2 linked regions of the Oryctolagus cuniculus genome follow. The protein of the gene in region 1 interacts with the protein of each later gene in a pairwise test. Links are inferred from orthologs where the notes say so. Each region holds a gene or a part of one and is shown on either strand. Other genes may lie near its edges.

Evidence for each region.
Region 2: the proteins of CCDC158 (region 1) and GPSM1 interact in a two-hybrid assay, tested with the Homo sapiens proteins (2 studies listed by BioGRID and IntAct). The link is inferred for Oryctolagus cuniculus from reciprocal best matches to the Homo sapiens genes CCDC158 and GPSM1.

What each region holds. Positions count from the first base shown.
Region 1 is NC_091439.1:89,540,045-89,546,046, reverse strand, and holds part of CCDC158 (coiled-coil domain-containing protein 158), read right to left. Parts: intron 5,248-6,002; coding exon 5,128-5,247; intron 2,609-5,127; coding exon 2,411-2,608; intron 766-2,410; coding exon 283-765; intron 1-282.
Region 2 is NC_091432.1:236,689,519-236,695,520, reverse strand, and holds part of GPSM1 (G-protein-signaling modulator 1), read left to right. Parts: exon of another isoform or gene 1-3,177; coding exon of another isoform or gene 3,178-3,356; intron 3,357-4,907; coding exon 4,908-5,129; intron 5,130-5,493; coding exon 5,494-5,629; intron 5,630-6,002. UniProt on the Homo sapiens protein: Guanine nucleotide dissociation inhibitor (GDI) which functions as a receptor-independent activator of heterotrimeric G-protein signaling.

The DNA of each region.
Region 1 (6,002 bases):
GAAATCTGGAAGGACTACTTGGAAAAGCTGCATTTTCTAATTTTTTACTTTTACTTGTGATTCTGAACCATTTTCGGGCCATCACTCCTCTTGGAATCTGATAAAAGCCTGGATCCCCTCTCAGAAAAACACAAATACACATATAGACATAAATATTTTCAAATAAATACACGAGGGTTCACAGACACCAGGATCCAGTTTTCAATCAATTAGGTCAGCTTGATTCATAGGGGGAAAAAAAAGCAGTATTTCAGGAGCTAAACCACCCCAAATTCTACTGACCTTAAATTCCTGTAGCTCCAGTCTCCGGTCATTGATCTCCTTCTCAAGCTGAGCTTTTTCAACCTGCATAGCACCCGCAGTCCTGCCATGCTGGCCCACCAGCTGCGTCATGTTTTCAATCTGCTGTCGCAGAATCTCGATCACCTTGTCCTTCTCGGTCATCTGCAGCCTGAGGGCCTCACATTCCGCCTGCACGTTTCTGAGGTGGTCCCCCTCCGTTCTCAGGTGCTGGAGCTCCTGCAACTTCAAGTCTACCCGGGAGCGCAGCTTGGTGATCTCTGCGTTGGTGGCCTCGATGGCTCTCTCCTTTTCCTGGAGGGAAGTAGTCAGGTCCGATACGGTCCTCTCAGAGCTCTCCAGGGTCATTTTTTTGGCTGTCAGCTCCTCCACCACTTTGCGGAGCATCTCCTTGGTGGATTCAAGTTGCGCAGTCAATGAGGACACTTTTTCCAGACTTTCGTTCTTTCCCTGAATTGCTGCCATCTGATTGTTAAGGAAAAGGGAATTCATGGATTTCAGAGGATAAGTATAGGCAACCTTAAGAAATTTAACAAGCTAACTCAAAAGCATAAAATCATAAATGGCATAACAGCCAGTTAGAATAACTCAAAAAAATTTTTAAATTTATTTGAAAGGCAGAGTAGCAAACAGAGTGAAGACAGGGGTGTGAGGAGAGGATCTTCCATTTGCTGGTTCACTCCCCAAGTAGCCGCTACAGCCAGGCTGGGCCAGGCTGAAACCAGGATCCTGGAAATCTATACTGGTTTCCTGCATGGGTGGCAGGAGCCCAAGCACTTGGGCCACCTTCTGCTGCCTTCCCAGTACATTAGCAAGGAGCCAGATCAGAAGTGGGGAAGCTGGGACCCAGACCTGCACTCTGATAAGGTATGTTGGTATTGCGAATGGAGGCTTACCCTGCTGCACCACAACACAAGCCCCTCAAACTGTTTTGCTATCAGAATCCTAGATCATCAGCATGTATAAGGCAGACAGACAAATGTTAACTGGACCAAGGTGGAGAGGACTTCCCTGTGATGGTTTCCAAGAGTGGGGAGCTTGGGAAGTTTCCTCTGAGGATGTCTGCTATTCCCCTTTAAACAGAGATAACACTGGTGATGGAGGGAAAGAGTAGCAGGAGTGAAGACAACGACTTTTATTTTCCATTTTCTTCCTAGCATCTCCTTAATTCCACCCTAGGGAAAAATGAATAATGGCTTTTTCCCATATTCATATCCTGTGGTCTTCACTTCAAACGGAGTAAGATTCAAACTTCCAGTTGCTCCTTTCATCATGCTTCCTGCCCAAATTAGACCAGATCATAGGGAGAGGGCTTGCGTCGATCTAAGCCAACTGTCCCGCTGATGTGCTTTCACATTTTGGGGAGCTTACAGTTATGTGGGATGCTTGTAGTCCTGCAGTAGTAAGTGGCGATAGAACCACCTCTAACACTGATGGTACACTGTTAAGAGGGCAGTCTACTTGGGGTGGCATAGCGGTGCAGTAGGCTAAGCTGCTGCTTGGAATGCCTGCATTCCATATAGGAGTGCCTGATTCCAATTCATGCAGCTTCCTGGTGATGTGCACACTGGGAGGCAGCAGTGGCAGCCCAAGTACTTGAGTTCCTGCCACCAATACTGGAGACTTCCATGGAGTCCCTGGCTCCTGGTTCAGCCTGGACTAGACCTAGCTATTGTGAGCATTTGGGGAGTGAACCGGCAGATGGACATACTTCTTTCTCTCTCTCTCCTAATCTCTCTCCCTTTCAAATAAGTAAACTTTTAAAAAGGAAAGCAGTCCACATTTTGCTACTGATGTCCTGGAATAGAACATGCATTAGTCTCTATCAGCCTGGAGGGAAAACAAGACACACCTACTGGAAATCTTCAACCCTACTGCCCCATGGATATCCTGACAAGTTTGATACTTTTCTGATTATGTTCCTAATTTCTAGTGAAAATGAAAAGCCAATTGGACAGGAGTTCGTTTTGGGACACTACACAAATGAGATACAACCTAACGTGCTTGGCTTGATGAATGATCAGAACCACGGAAGGCAATGCCGGTTTTTCGTACACTGCTTGCAGAGTCCGTGCCTCTGCTAGGCCCAAGCCCGTGTGTGGACTCTCACCTGCCGCTCCATCTGGCCCTGGCACTCGCTCTTCATGGCCTTGAGCAGGGCTTCCAGCCGCTGCACCTCCATGTTGCGGTCGTCCAGCTCCCGCCGCAGGTGGTCGATGGTGATGCTGTTGCCCGTGTCTCGGTCCCACAGGCGCTTGTTCTGCTCCTTCTCCAGACTCAGCTCCTTCTCTCTCTTGTGCAGATCAGCCTAAAAGAGGCAAGAAACACTTTGTGCCCCTGGTGCAAAATCACTCATGTAAAACTCTTGTTTTCTTATGTCATCTGTGGAGTTTTTATGTGATTCGCGGAATTTCGAGTTCAGAATCTGATTCCTTTATTGATGGTTGGATTAGGAGTGATTATTCCCTGGAAAAATAAGTTAACATTTTGCATACTTAAAATTCTGAGCATTGTAAGTCAACCTCCAGAGACCAGACCTCAAAAAACATAGAATGAAAAGAAAAGTACAGCAGACAGTAGATTTACAAGGTCATTCTGTTCTTAGTCTTCAATTTTCTAACAGACATCATGCTTCACATCAAATGTGCTTCTGCAGTAAGGACATACTCAAAACTTAAATAACTACAGTAATTCAATCCATGCTTCAGAAATGGCAGAACAGTGGCCAATGCTAGGACTGGAGTAGCAGTTGGCTACGAAGAAAGTCACCTCACGGTCAGGGTTTACTATGAGCAAAAACTGTACATAGAGTAGGAGAAACGGAGACACAGCCCCCTCCAAAGGACTCTCAGTCAGAGTGAAAGACACAGATTTGACAGCTGCGAGTTTCATTAAAGGGACAGATCTAAGGCAGAGTAGGGTGAGTCTCAACTGAAGGATTAAAATGCCTCTGGATGACATGAGTTACATTTGAGTTGCACTTGAGAACAATGTGGAGGTGCAGAGATGAGGAAGGAGCAGGTGTGATTTGCGTGGGGCAGTGGGAGAGAAAGGGCTGGAAAGGAAAGCAGAGGCCGGCTCAGGGACAGAGTCTTGAGAGGGAGGGACCATGACTTTAGAGGGAGTACTCTGAGTGGGTGAGTGACGTAATCGGGGCTGGATTTCAGAAAGATGAATGTGGCAGCATGTACAGGAAAGACTGGGAGAGGAGAAACCAGAGTTTCTAGGAACTAGAAAGATGACAGCCTGCTCTGGGGGAAGGTACTGAGGAGCCACGGTGCTAACCAGGAAAACTTGATCTGCAAGATTTTCAAATTAGGCCTGATAATGCTGAGAAATATGCAACACGTCCAGAAAAGAAGGTTCTCCTGAGGCTTACAGCTGTCCACACGCAGTGGCCAGCTCTCCATCCACCACAGCCCCTGGAGCCCCTTAGCTGTCCACACGCGGTGGTCGGCTCTCCATCCGCCACACCCCCTGCAGCCCCTTAGCTGTCCACACGCGGTGGTCGGCTCTCCATCCACCACACCCCCGGAGCCCCTTAGCTGTCCACACGCGGTGGTTGGCTCTCCATCCGCCACACCCCCTGGAGCCCCTTTGGGGCCTAGGAGGGGTGGCTGTACCAGTCAGAAGCACCATGTCCTAGAACAGGGTTTGGTAGGGAGAGGAACTTCCGCCGTACCACTGAGAGCACATCAAGGGGTGCCTAAAGCTCTCAGCATGCAGCAGCTCTAAGAGGATCCTCACTAGTAGTGTATTTCCTTAATCTGAAAATTCTAAGTATTCCAAGAAAGAGCTCAACATTCTTGAGCACTAGCATGATGTTACTAGTGGAAACCTCCACACCTGACTTCATGTGGTGAATGGGCCACAGGCAAAACACAGATGCATTAAACATTTTGTGCAAAATTACCTTTGAGCTACATGTAGAAGGTGCATTTCAAACATAAATGAATTTCATGTTCACACTTGGATCCCACCCCAGAGATAGCTCATTAGGTATATGCAAATAAATATTCCAGAACCTGAAAAATCCAAAGTCCAAACTACTTCTGGTCCCGAGTACTTGGGATCAGGAAAATTCTCAACCTGTGTCACAACACCATTGCCTTTTTCTTTGTAAAATAGTGTCCCCCGATCTTCCAGTAAGAATTTCTATATACAGAATTCATATGTGTTCTCAATGTGATTTGGCTGAACAAGGAATACACTTAACGTGGCTTGAGTACCTAACTTTCAGCACCTAACTCAAAGTCTGCAGTGGTCTGTAGATCTCTTTTTTTTTTTAAGATTTATTTTATTTATTTGAAAGACAGAGTTACAGAGAGGTGGAGCCAGAGACAGAAAGAGAGAGAGGTCTTTCATTCCTCTGGTTCACTCGCCAAATGACTGCAATGGCCAGAGCTGAGCTGATCTGAAGCGAGGAGCCAGGAGCTTCCTCCGGGTCTCCCACATGGGGTTCAGGGGCCCAAGGACTTGAGCCATCTTCCACTGCTTTCCCAGGCCATAGCAGAGAGTGGGATTGGAAGAGGAGCAGCCGGGACACGAACCAGAACCCATATGGGATGTCGGCACTGCAGGCTGGGGCTTTAACCTGTTGCGTCACAGCACCGGCCCGATCTCCTTCTTATCTAACACCTTAACAGCGCTGCTGAGAATAAAAGAGGAAGTACACAGAATATCTTTATGAGCAAAACTTGAGCAGGGTCTAGGATGGTCTACTGTGTGTACAAACACTGTGTACCATCTGCCCTTTCATAAATGAAACTAGCTTGGTGAAAGCCTTCCCAGAATCAGTCTCATCCGCATCTGAGCGCACAGTCTTACCAACAGCTTTTGAAGCTGATCGTCCAGGTTTCCGGACTCCTGACTGAACTGGTCACGTTCGCTGCGTGCTTCCGTTAGCTCTGAGCTGGCAAGGACTAGCTGCTTCTCCAGTTCCTCTATCTAAAAGGAAAACGCAGACACAGCAGTGAGACCATGTCAAGGCCACAGGAAATAGAGTCTTTGGAAAACAAACGGTATTATTTGGGGACGCAAGTAAAAGTTTATTGTGATATATTTTGCAAAGTATTCTAGAATTAAGATCTATGTAGGAGATAGCCAGGGAAATTAGCCAAAATGAAATACTGAGTACTATTGGATTTGGGCACTGTCTATACACAAGTCTTTCTTACTTTTATTCCATTCAAGATTTTCTGTGAACATTTGTTCTCTAATTTGAGGGTTATAGAATCTTGATTGGTATGAACACCACACTACTGAGCATATAAAAATAAACTGTATTCTATATACAACTGCATACAAATGAACTGTATCAATTCAGAATATCAGTGCTAATAATTGAAGGAATTTGATGTAAAAGAATAAAGGATAATAACAGGAGTAACTACGTTATATCATTTTAGAGTAACTATTTTGAAAGGGTGAGTGTGTGTGCACACACACACACACGTTTTTGGACAATACACATATTGAACAATTGATTTTCCAATCCTCATTTTCCTCAGCTACAAAACAGGGATAAGAGTTCCAATTTAAAGAACCGTTAAATGTGTATTTTCCTCTCAAGACAGGGCAGTTGTTTGACCTGTTTGAATAGGGAGAGAGATTTACTCTTCTGTACTAACAGTACCACCCCAGGGGCGCCAGACATTTCCTTTCCTCAATTTCTCAGCCTGCAGTAGCTCCAGCAGAGGACA
Region 2 (6,002 bases), on another chromosome or scaffold:
GGTGCCTCGCAGGTGACCCCAGCAGTCTGGGCTGTGTGCTGGGGGCCGGGCCGGCCGCAGAGGATGACCGCGGCCTGCCCGGGGCTGCAAGCCTTCCTGGCGAGGGTGCCCCCCAGAGTGGTCCCGAGCTGGGCCTGGAGCCAGCAGGGTGGGCCTGGGTGCTGGGCTTCAGGGGGGCAGGCCTGGCTGCTGGCGGGGGGCCAGACAGGCCCAGGCGACACCACTGTCCTGGTCCCCTTTGGCCGTCTCCGGAGCCTGGTGGTCTCCAGAGAGAGGCCTGGCTTCCCAGGACTTGGCACTCCAGCCATGTGGTGTGCTGGCCACAGACGTCTGCTGGGCTCCCCCAGCCGGAGACAGCAGGCCCTGCTGCCCACCCTGGGCCTGCTCCGCGGGGCTGGGCAGAGACGGAGCCCCTTTGTGTGGTCTGGGGATCCAGCCGGGCCCCCGTGGGGGGAGGGGCGGAGGCTGGCTCTGCCGGCACCTGGTGCAGCAGGCCTGCCCCCGCCCCCACCGTGGGAATCCAGTGTTTCCCACGGCTCGTCCATGGTCCATGGTCCACCTGAGAGCCGGGCTGGGAGCTGAGGGCCCCGCAGGCGGGGGCTCTGTCAGTACTCAGGCTTGACCTGGGGGCCAGGGGGACGCGCCGGACGGGACCCTGGCCTTGGGAGCTGGCCCCGAGCAGGGACAGCACTGGGAGGGGGCCCTGGGACCCTCCCAGCTGAGACCCACGTGGAACCTGAAGGGCAGAGCCGGGCCAGGGGCCGTGGGGGCCCTGGGGGAGTTTGGGCCCTGGACCCACAGCGGGGTCTGGGCAGCCAGTTCCCGGCCGGGACTGGCTTTGGGGGTCCTGAGCCGGTGGGGGCCGGGGCGGTGAGGTTTGAGGAGAAAGAGGATGTCTGGGAAGCCCACCTGCCCCGGCGGCTCCTGGGTAGGGGGGTGGGTTCCCGCTGGTCTCTGTGCTGCCCCCCCCCCAATGCCATCGTCCTGCCCAGAGAGCAGAGTTCGGTCTCACAGGCGGGGGCCGGAGGGACCCTTGTGCCACACGGCCCGGGAGTCAGGCATGTGCCTGTGAGCGGACCCTGGGAGGGGGCGGAGGAGCCCCTGGGCCCGCCTCAGAGGTGCACCCCAAGCGGCGGGCACTGGCGCCCTCAGGTGTGGGGCAGGAGGCTCCCGTGGCCACGTGCCGGGCCGCCCCCACCCTCTTGTGGTCCCCCGCCCAGGTGCGTCCCCAGGCACGGTGACCTGGCCACCCCTGCCTCACTGCCCTGAAGCTGGAGTGACCCCCGCGTCCCCCTGGTCTCCGCCACCCCTGGCCCTGTCCTGCCCCTGCCTTCTCCCTGCCCCGGCCACGGGAGGCGGGTCTGTGACTTTGTTCTCTCTGGGGCTGGCTGGACGGGGCCCGGGGGAGTTGGAGCCAGTGGTGAGCAGGGCTCTCCTGGGTGCCTGCCCTGGGGCCAGAGTGGAGGTGACAGCTGGGTGAGGGTGCGGATTCGGCTGTTAGCAGGGGTGGGAGCTGGGGCTGGATTGGGAGCCAGGAGTCTGGGGGGCCAGGCAGTCGGGGTCCGGAGGCCAGACAGGGCAGCGGCCGGGGCTGGGGCTGGAGAACAGGTGGGTGCGGCCCAGGCATGGCTTCTCCCTGCCTGGAGAGGTGCGGGCAAGACGTGGTGGCCACAGCAGCGGGGCTGGCCACCAGGGAGCCGCTCACCGCTTTGCTGCCCGGGACACGGGCAGAAGCACCTGTCTCCTGCCGCCACAGTCTGCCTCCTCCGGGACCTAGGCTGGAGCGGGGCCAGGCCAGGCAGTCCCAGGGCACCCGAGGCAGGCTGCAGGGGAGGGGAGGGCGAGGGCTGTCTGTCCATGAAGCCGTGTGTGTCCGGCAAAGGCGCCCCCACCCCCGCAGGGGGCCCGAGCCCTCCGTGCCGGACCCCAATCCTAGAGGCCACGGGCACCCTGGGCCGTCCTGCAGGGCGGGGTCCCCAGTGCCCAGACAACCAGCTGGGGGACTGACAGCCTGCAAAGCTGGTAGACCTAGGCAGGTGGCGTGGGGCACAGGTTCCGGAATCTTCTCCGCCAATGGGTGCAGATCCTAGGAGGATCTGGGGTTCAGCGTCTCAGTGGCCAGGCCCCGGCCAAGCTGTCCTGGGGGTGGACACGTGGGCTGGCCTCACTGAGCGCCCCAGGACAGGGAGGGGAGCGTCCGGGGCCGTGCTTGGGTTGCTGTCTGAGCAGAGCCCCCGCCCCCATTCTCCAGCTCCTGCTCACCCCAGGACGCCACCCCCCCCCCCCCGTGCACACCTCCAACCAGGGCCGATGGCTGCGCAGTGGCGTCCCCAGGGTGGGGTTGGCGCTGTAGGGGAGGGGTGGTAGAGGAGGCCCCTAGGGGAGGCTCCGATTCCGCACCGGTGACTCGCCCGAGGGGCTGTGCACTGGGCGCCCTGCCTGCCTGCTCACGGCTGGGCGCTGCACCTGCCCCAGCAGCCCGGGGTTGGGGTCACACTCAGCTGAGGGGTGTCTGGGCCCTGGCAGGTGGGAGGACGGGCGCTGGGAGTCTCCTCCCAAGCCCCCCACTCCCAGCCTGTGTGTCCCGCCCCCTGGGGAGACCCCGGGCCCTGGAGCTCACCGCAGACATCAGGCGAGGCACGGCGCGCACGGGGCGCACGGGGCGGCTCGGCCTGGACTCCGTGTTCCGTGTCTGTGGAGGCTGCCCCGTGCCGTGTGCTGGGAGCTGGTGCCACAGAGGCCACAGCAGGACAAGCCGGGCTGGGGTCCCCAGGGGGCCGGTGAGACCCTGGGGGCCTTGAGATAGCAGTGGAGGGGCCGGGCCAGCACCGCCCAGCCCTGGGAGGGCGCTCCTGGAGACCGGGCCAGGCGGGACAGGCTCAGAAGCCGCCCGGCACCGGCTGCGGGCAGACCCCCGGGGTCCCGCACGGCCTGGGCTTGTGCAGGGGGAGAGCGGTGGCCGGGAGGTCCGGGTCCCCCCGCCCTGCCCAGCCCAGCCCCCGGGAGGCTGGATCAGGATTACGGCCTGGCCGCCCGCCCAGCCCGGCTGCTGACGGTGCTGATCCAGCTCCTGATCCCTCACGCCCCACGGCCCAGGCCAGAGGCCCTGGCTGCCCCAGAACCACGGTGGCCGAGCGCTCAGCCCCCCACCCGGGAGGCGGGGGGGCGCAGGGGCCCATGGCCACGGTCCGCAGGGAGGCCTCCGCCCTGGAGGCCCAGCCCGTGGCCCTGAGCCCGGCAGAGAAGGCCGTGTGCAAGGTGGTGTATGGGGCCCCCCGCCCCCGCCCGCTGCTGCTGCCCGTGGGCCTGGAGCTATGGCTGTACGTGCAGAAGATGCGAAACCTGCACAGGACCAGGTGCGGCGCTGGGCTGGGGGGCTGCAGGGCCGGGGCGGGGTCCGCTGCCGTCCTGGGAACCCTGCAGGGGGCAGGACACCCTGCCTGGTTCCCCTCCAGGGGGTCCCCACGGCGGTCAGCTCCTGGCCCAGCTTCGGGCAGGCGTGTTGGTGACCGCCAGTGCACCCCCTTGGACGTCCAGGCGGCCGATGCCACAGCTCTGGGTGGGGAGGGGTGCGGGGTGGGGGCTGGGCAGGGACCAAGCAGGCCAGCCGCAGGAGTGGGCTCTCGTGTGGCTGCTCTCGTGGTTTGCGTGGGCGTGGCAGCCGGAAGCCCTCCCCGGGGAGCGTGGCGAGGAGCCAGGCAGGTCGTGGGTGGCCTGAGGGCCTGGCCTCTGCTGGACTAGGGGCAGGGGTTGGTGGATTCTGAGCTCTGCCCGGGCGGTCACCAGGGCCGCCTGTGTCACCGTGCATACCCTGAGCCGTGACTGTGCGGGCGCTGTGCCCCGACTGCCCGGGAGGGGGCGACTCCCCGTGACAGGCAGGTGGGAGCCACCCGGGCTGCCGGCGGGGCTCGGCATAGGCCGTTTGGAGCAGGCCTCTCCTCCATGTGCCCGCCATCCCGAGGACCCAGGCCGCCCCCTGTCCTGGAGAGCCTCGTGGGGTCGGGGACACCCCCTGAGCACCAGGCCCCCGGTCAGGAAGGGTGGCGGGGCAGGGGCCGGCCCTGGTTCCTGGGGGAGGAGGGACAGAACAGAGCTCAGAGTGCAGGGGGCTGTGGTGGGCTGGGAGCCGGGGGGGCTCCCCAGCAGGAGGCCCTGAGCCTGGGGGTGCAGGGGGCTGGGGCCGCCGGCCCTTCCACGTCCAGGTGACCCCAGTACCCTGCAAACGTGGACATGGCCGCGTGGGGAGTGGGCTGAAGTGTGGGGCCCTGAGAAACCGCCCCGAGTAAGAGAGGAAGCCCCTCTTCTCGTGCCCCCACTGTCACTCGGTGGCCACACCCCCTCGCTGTGGGGCAGGGGGCGGGGCTCTGGTGGGGACGCTGGGCAGCACCCTGCGTTTCCTGCAAACTCCGACCGCGTCCAGAGCGCTGGAGAGAAGGCAGGAGTGAGGGGCCAGCTGCCGCCTGCCGGTCACGGGGCTGGGGGCCGGGCCGTGTGCCTCCGCGGAGCGCCTGTGGGGCCAGGGCAGCCTCACTGCCCGCTGCCCTGATGGCCGTGTCCCGAGGGCGCAGTCAGCAGGCGCTGGAGACCCCGCCGGGGTAGGGGGCTTTGCAGGGCCCGAGAGCGAGGGCTTCTGTGGCCCAGCCTGCCGCGGGCGCGCAGCCCTTCCCGGCCGGCCGCAGCGAGCCGCCTCAGCTCTGCGGGGCGGGGGTCCCGGTGGGGACCGGCTGACCCCTGGTGCAGCCTCGCCTCTGCCCGGAAGTGACCTCCAGGCCCCAGCCCCTCCCGGTTGGTGTCGCAGTGGGCGACGGGCGGGGCCTGTCACCGCTGTGGCCCAGCAGGACGGCGGGTGGTCCCTGGTCCCCGGTGTCCCGGGGTGGTCCCTCACCCGCCCCTCTGCCCTTGCCCAGGATGGAGGCCTCGTGCCTGGAGCTGGCCCTGGAAGGGGAGCGCCTGTGCAAGGCCGGGGACTTCCGGGCCGGCGTGGCCTTCTTTGAGGCGGCCGTGCAGGTGGGCACCGAGGACCTCAAGACGCTGAGTGCCATCTACAGCCAGCTGGGCAACGCCTACTTCTACCTGAGGGAGTTCGCCCGGGCGCTGGAGTACCACAAGCACGACCTGCTGCTGGCCCGGTGAGTGCCGGCACGCCGCGCCGCGCCCACCCCGCACACGAGCTGGCGGCCGGCTCCCGGAGTTCCCTGTGTGTGCCTCTGTGTGCCCTGCAGCGCCCCCCAGAGGCCGTGCGCACGCCTGGCCTGGGGCTCTGCCTCCCTCCCCGGAGCCCCTAGCCCCTGGGCCTCCTCCCGCAGCCCCTTGCCGGGCCCTGCAGGGGCGCCCCCCCGCCCCTCCTCCTCCAGGCCCTGAAGCCGCCCTGGCCTCCCGGACGGGAGCCTTGTGTGCCCGTCGGTACCTCGGTACGGGGCTGGGTGTGTTCCCGGTGGGCACGCGGCAGCTGTCTCCCCTGCAGCCCAGCCCCTCACTGCTCCCTGCTCCCAGGACCATCGGCGACCGCATGGGCGAGGCCAAGGCCAGCGGGAACCTGGGCAACACACTCAAGGTGTTGGGCCGCTTCGACGAGGCCATCGTGTGCTGCCAGCGGCACCTGGCCATCGCCCAGGAGCAGGGGGACAAGGTCGGTGTCGGCCCCGCCGCCCCTGCCTGTGGCCTGGGTCGGGGGTGGGCAGTCAGGGACGAGTGGCCTGGGGGAGCAGCAGCCCCTGGACACACAGGGCACCCCGGCTCCTGCCGGCGCTGCCGGGCCAGGCCCCGCCCCTCCCACGCTCCGCTGACTGCCCTGGAATCCGGATGACCGCAGTCACTGCCCGCAGGGCCCAGGAGGTGGCGCCGTCCCACTCAAGTTCTTGGGTCTCCGCCAGCAGCCTGGCCCTGCCCGGCTGGGGACATCCGGGGCCTGCAGCGGGGGACGGGGGCTCTGGGAGGAAGCCAGGCAAACGTGCAGGGGGCGGGCCATGGGCCCCGCTGTGCTGCCTGCTGTCCTGTGCCGA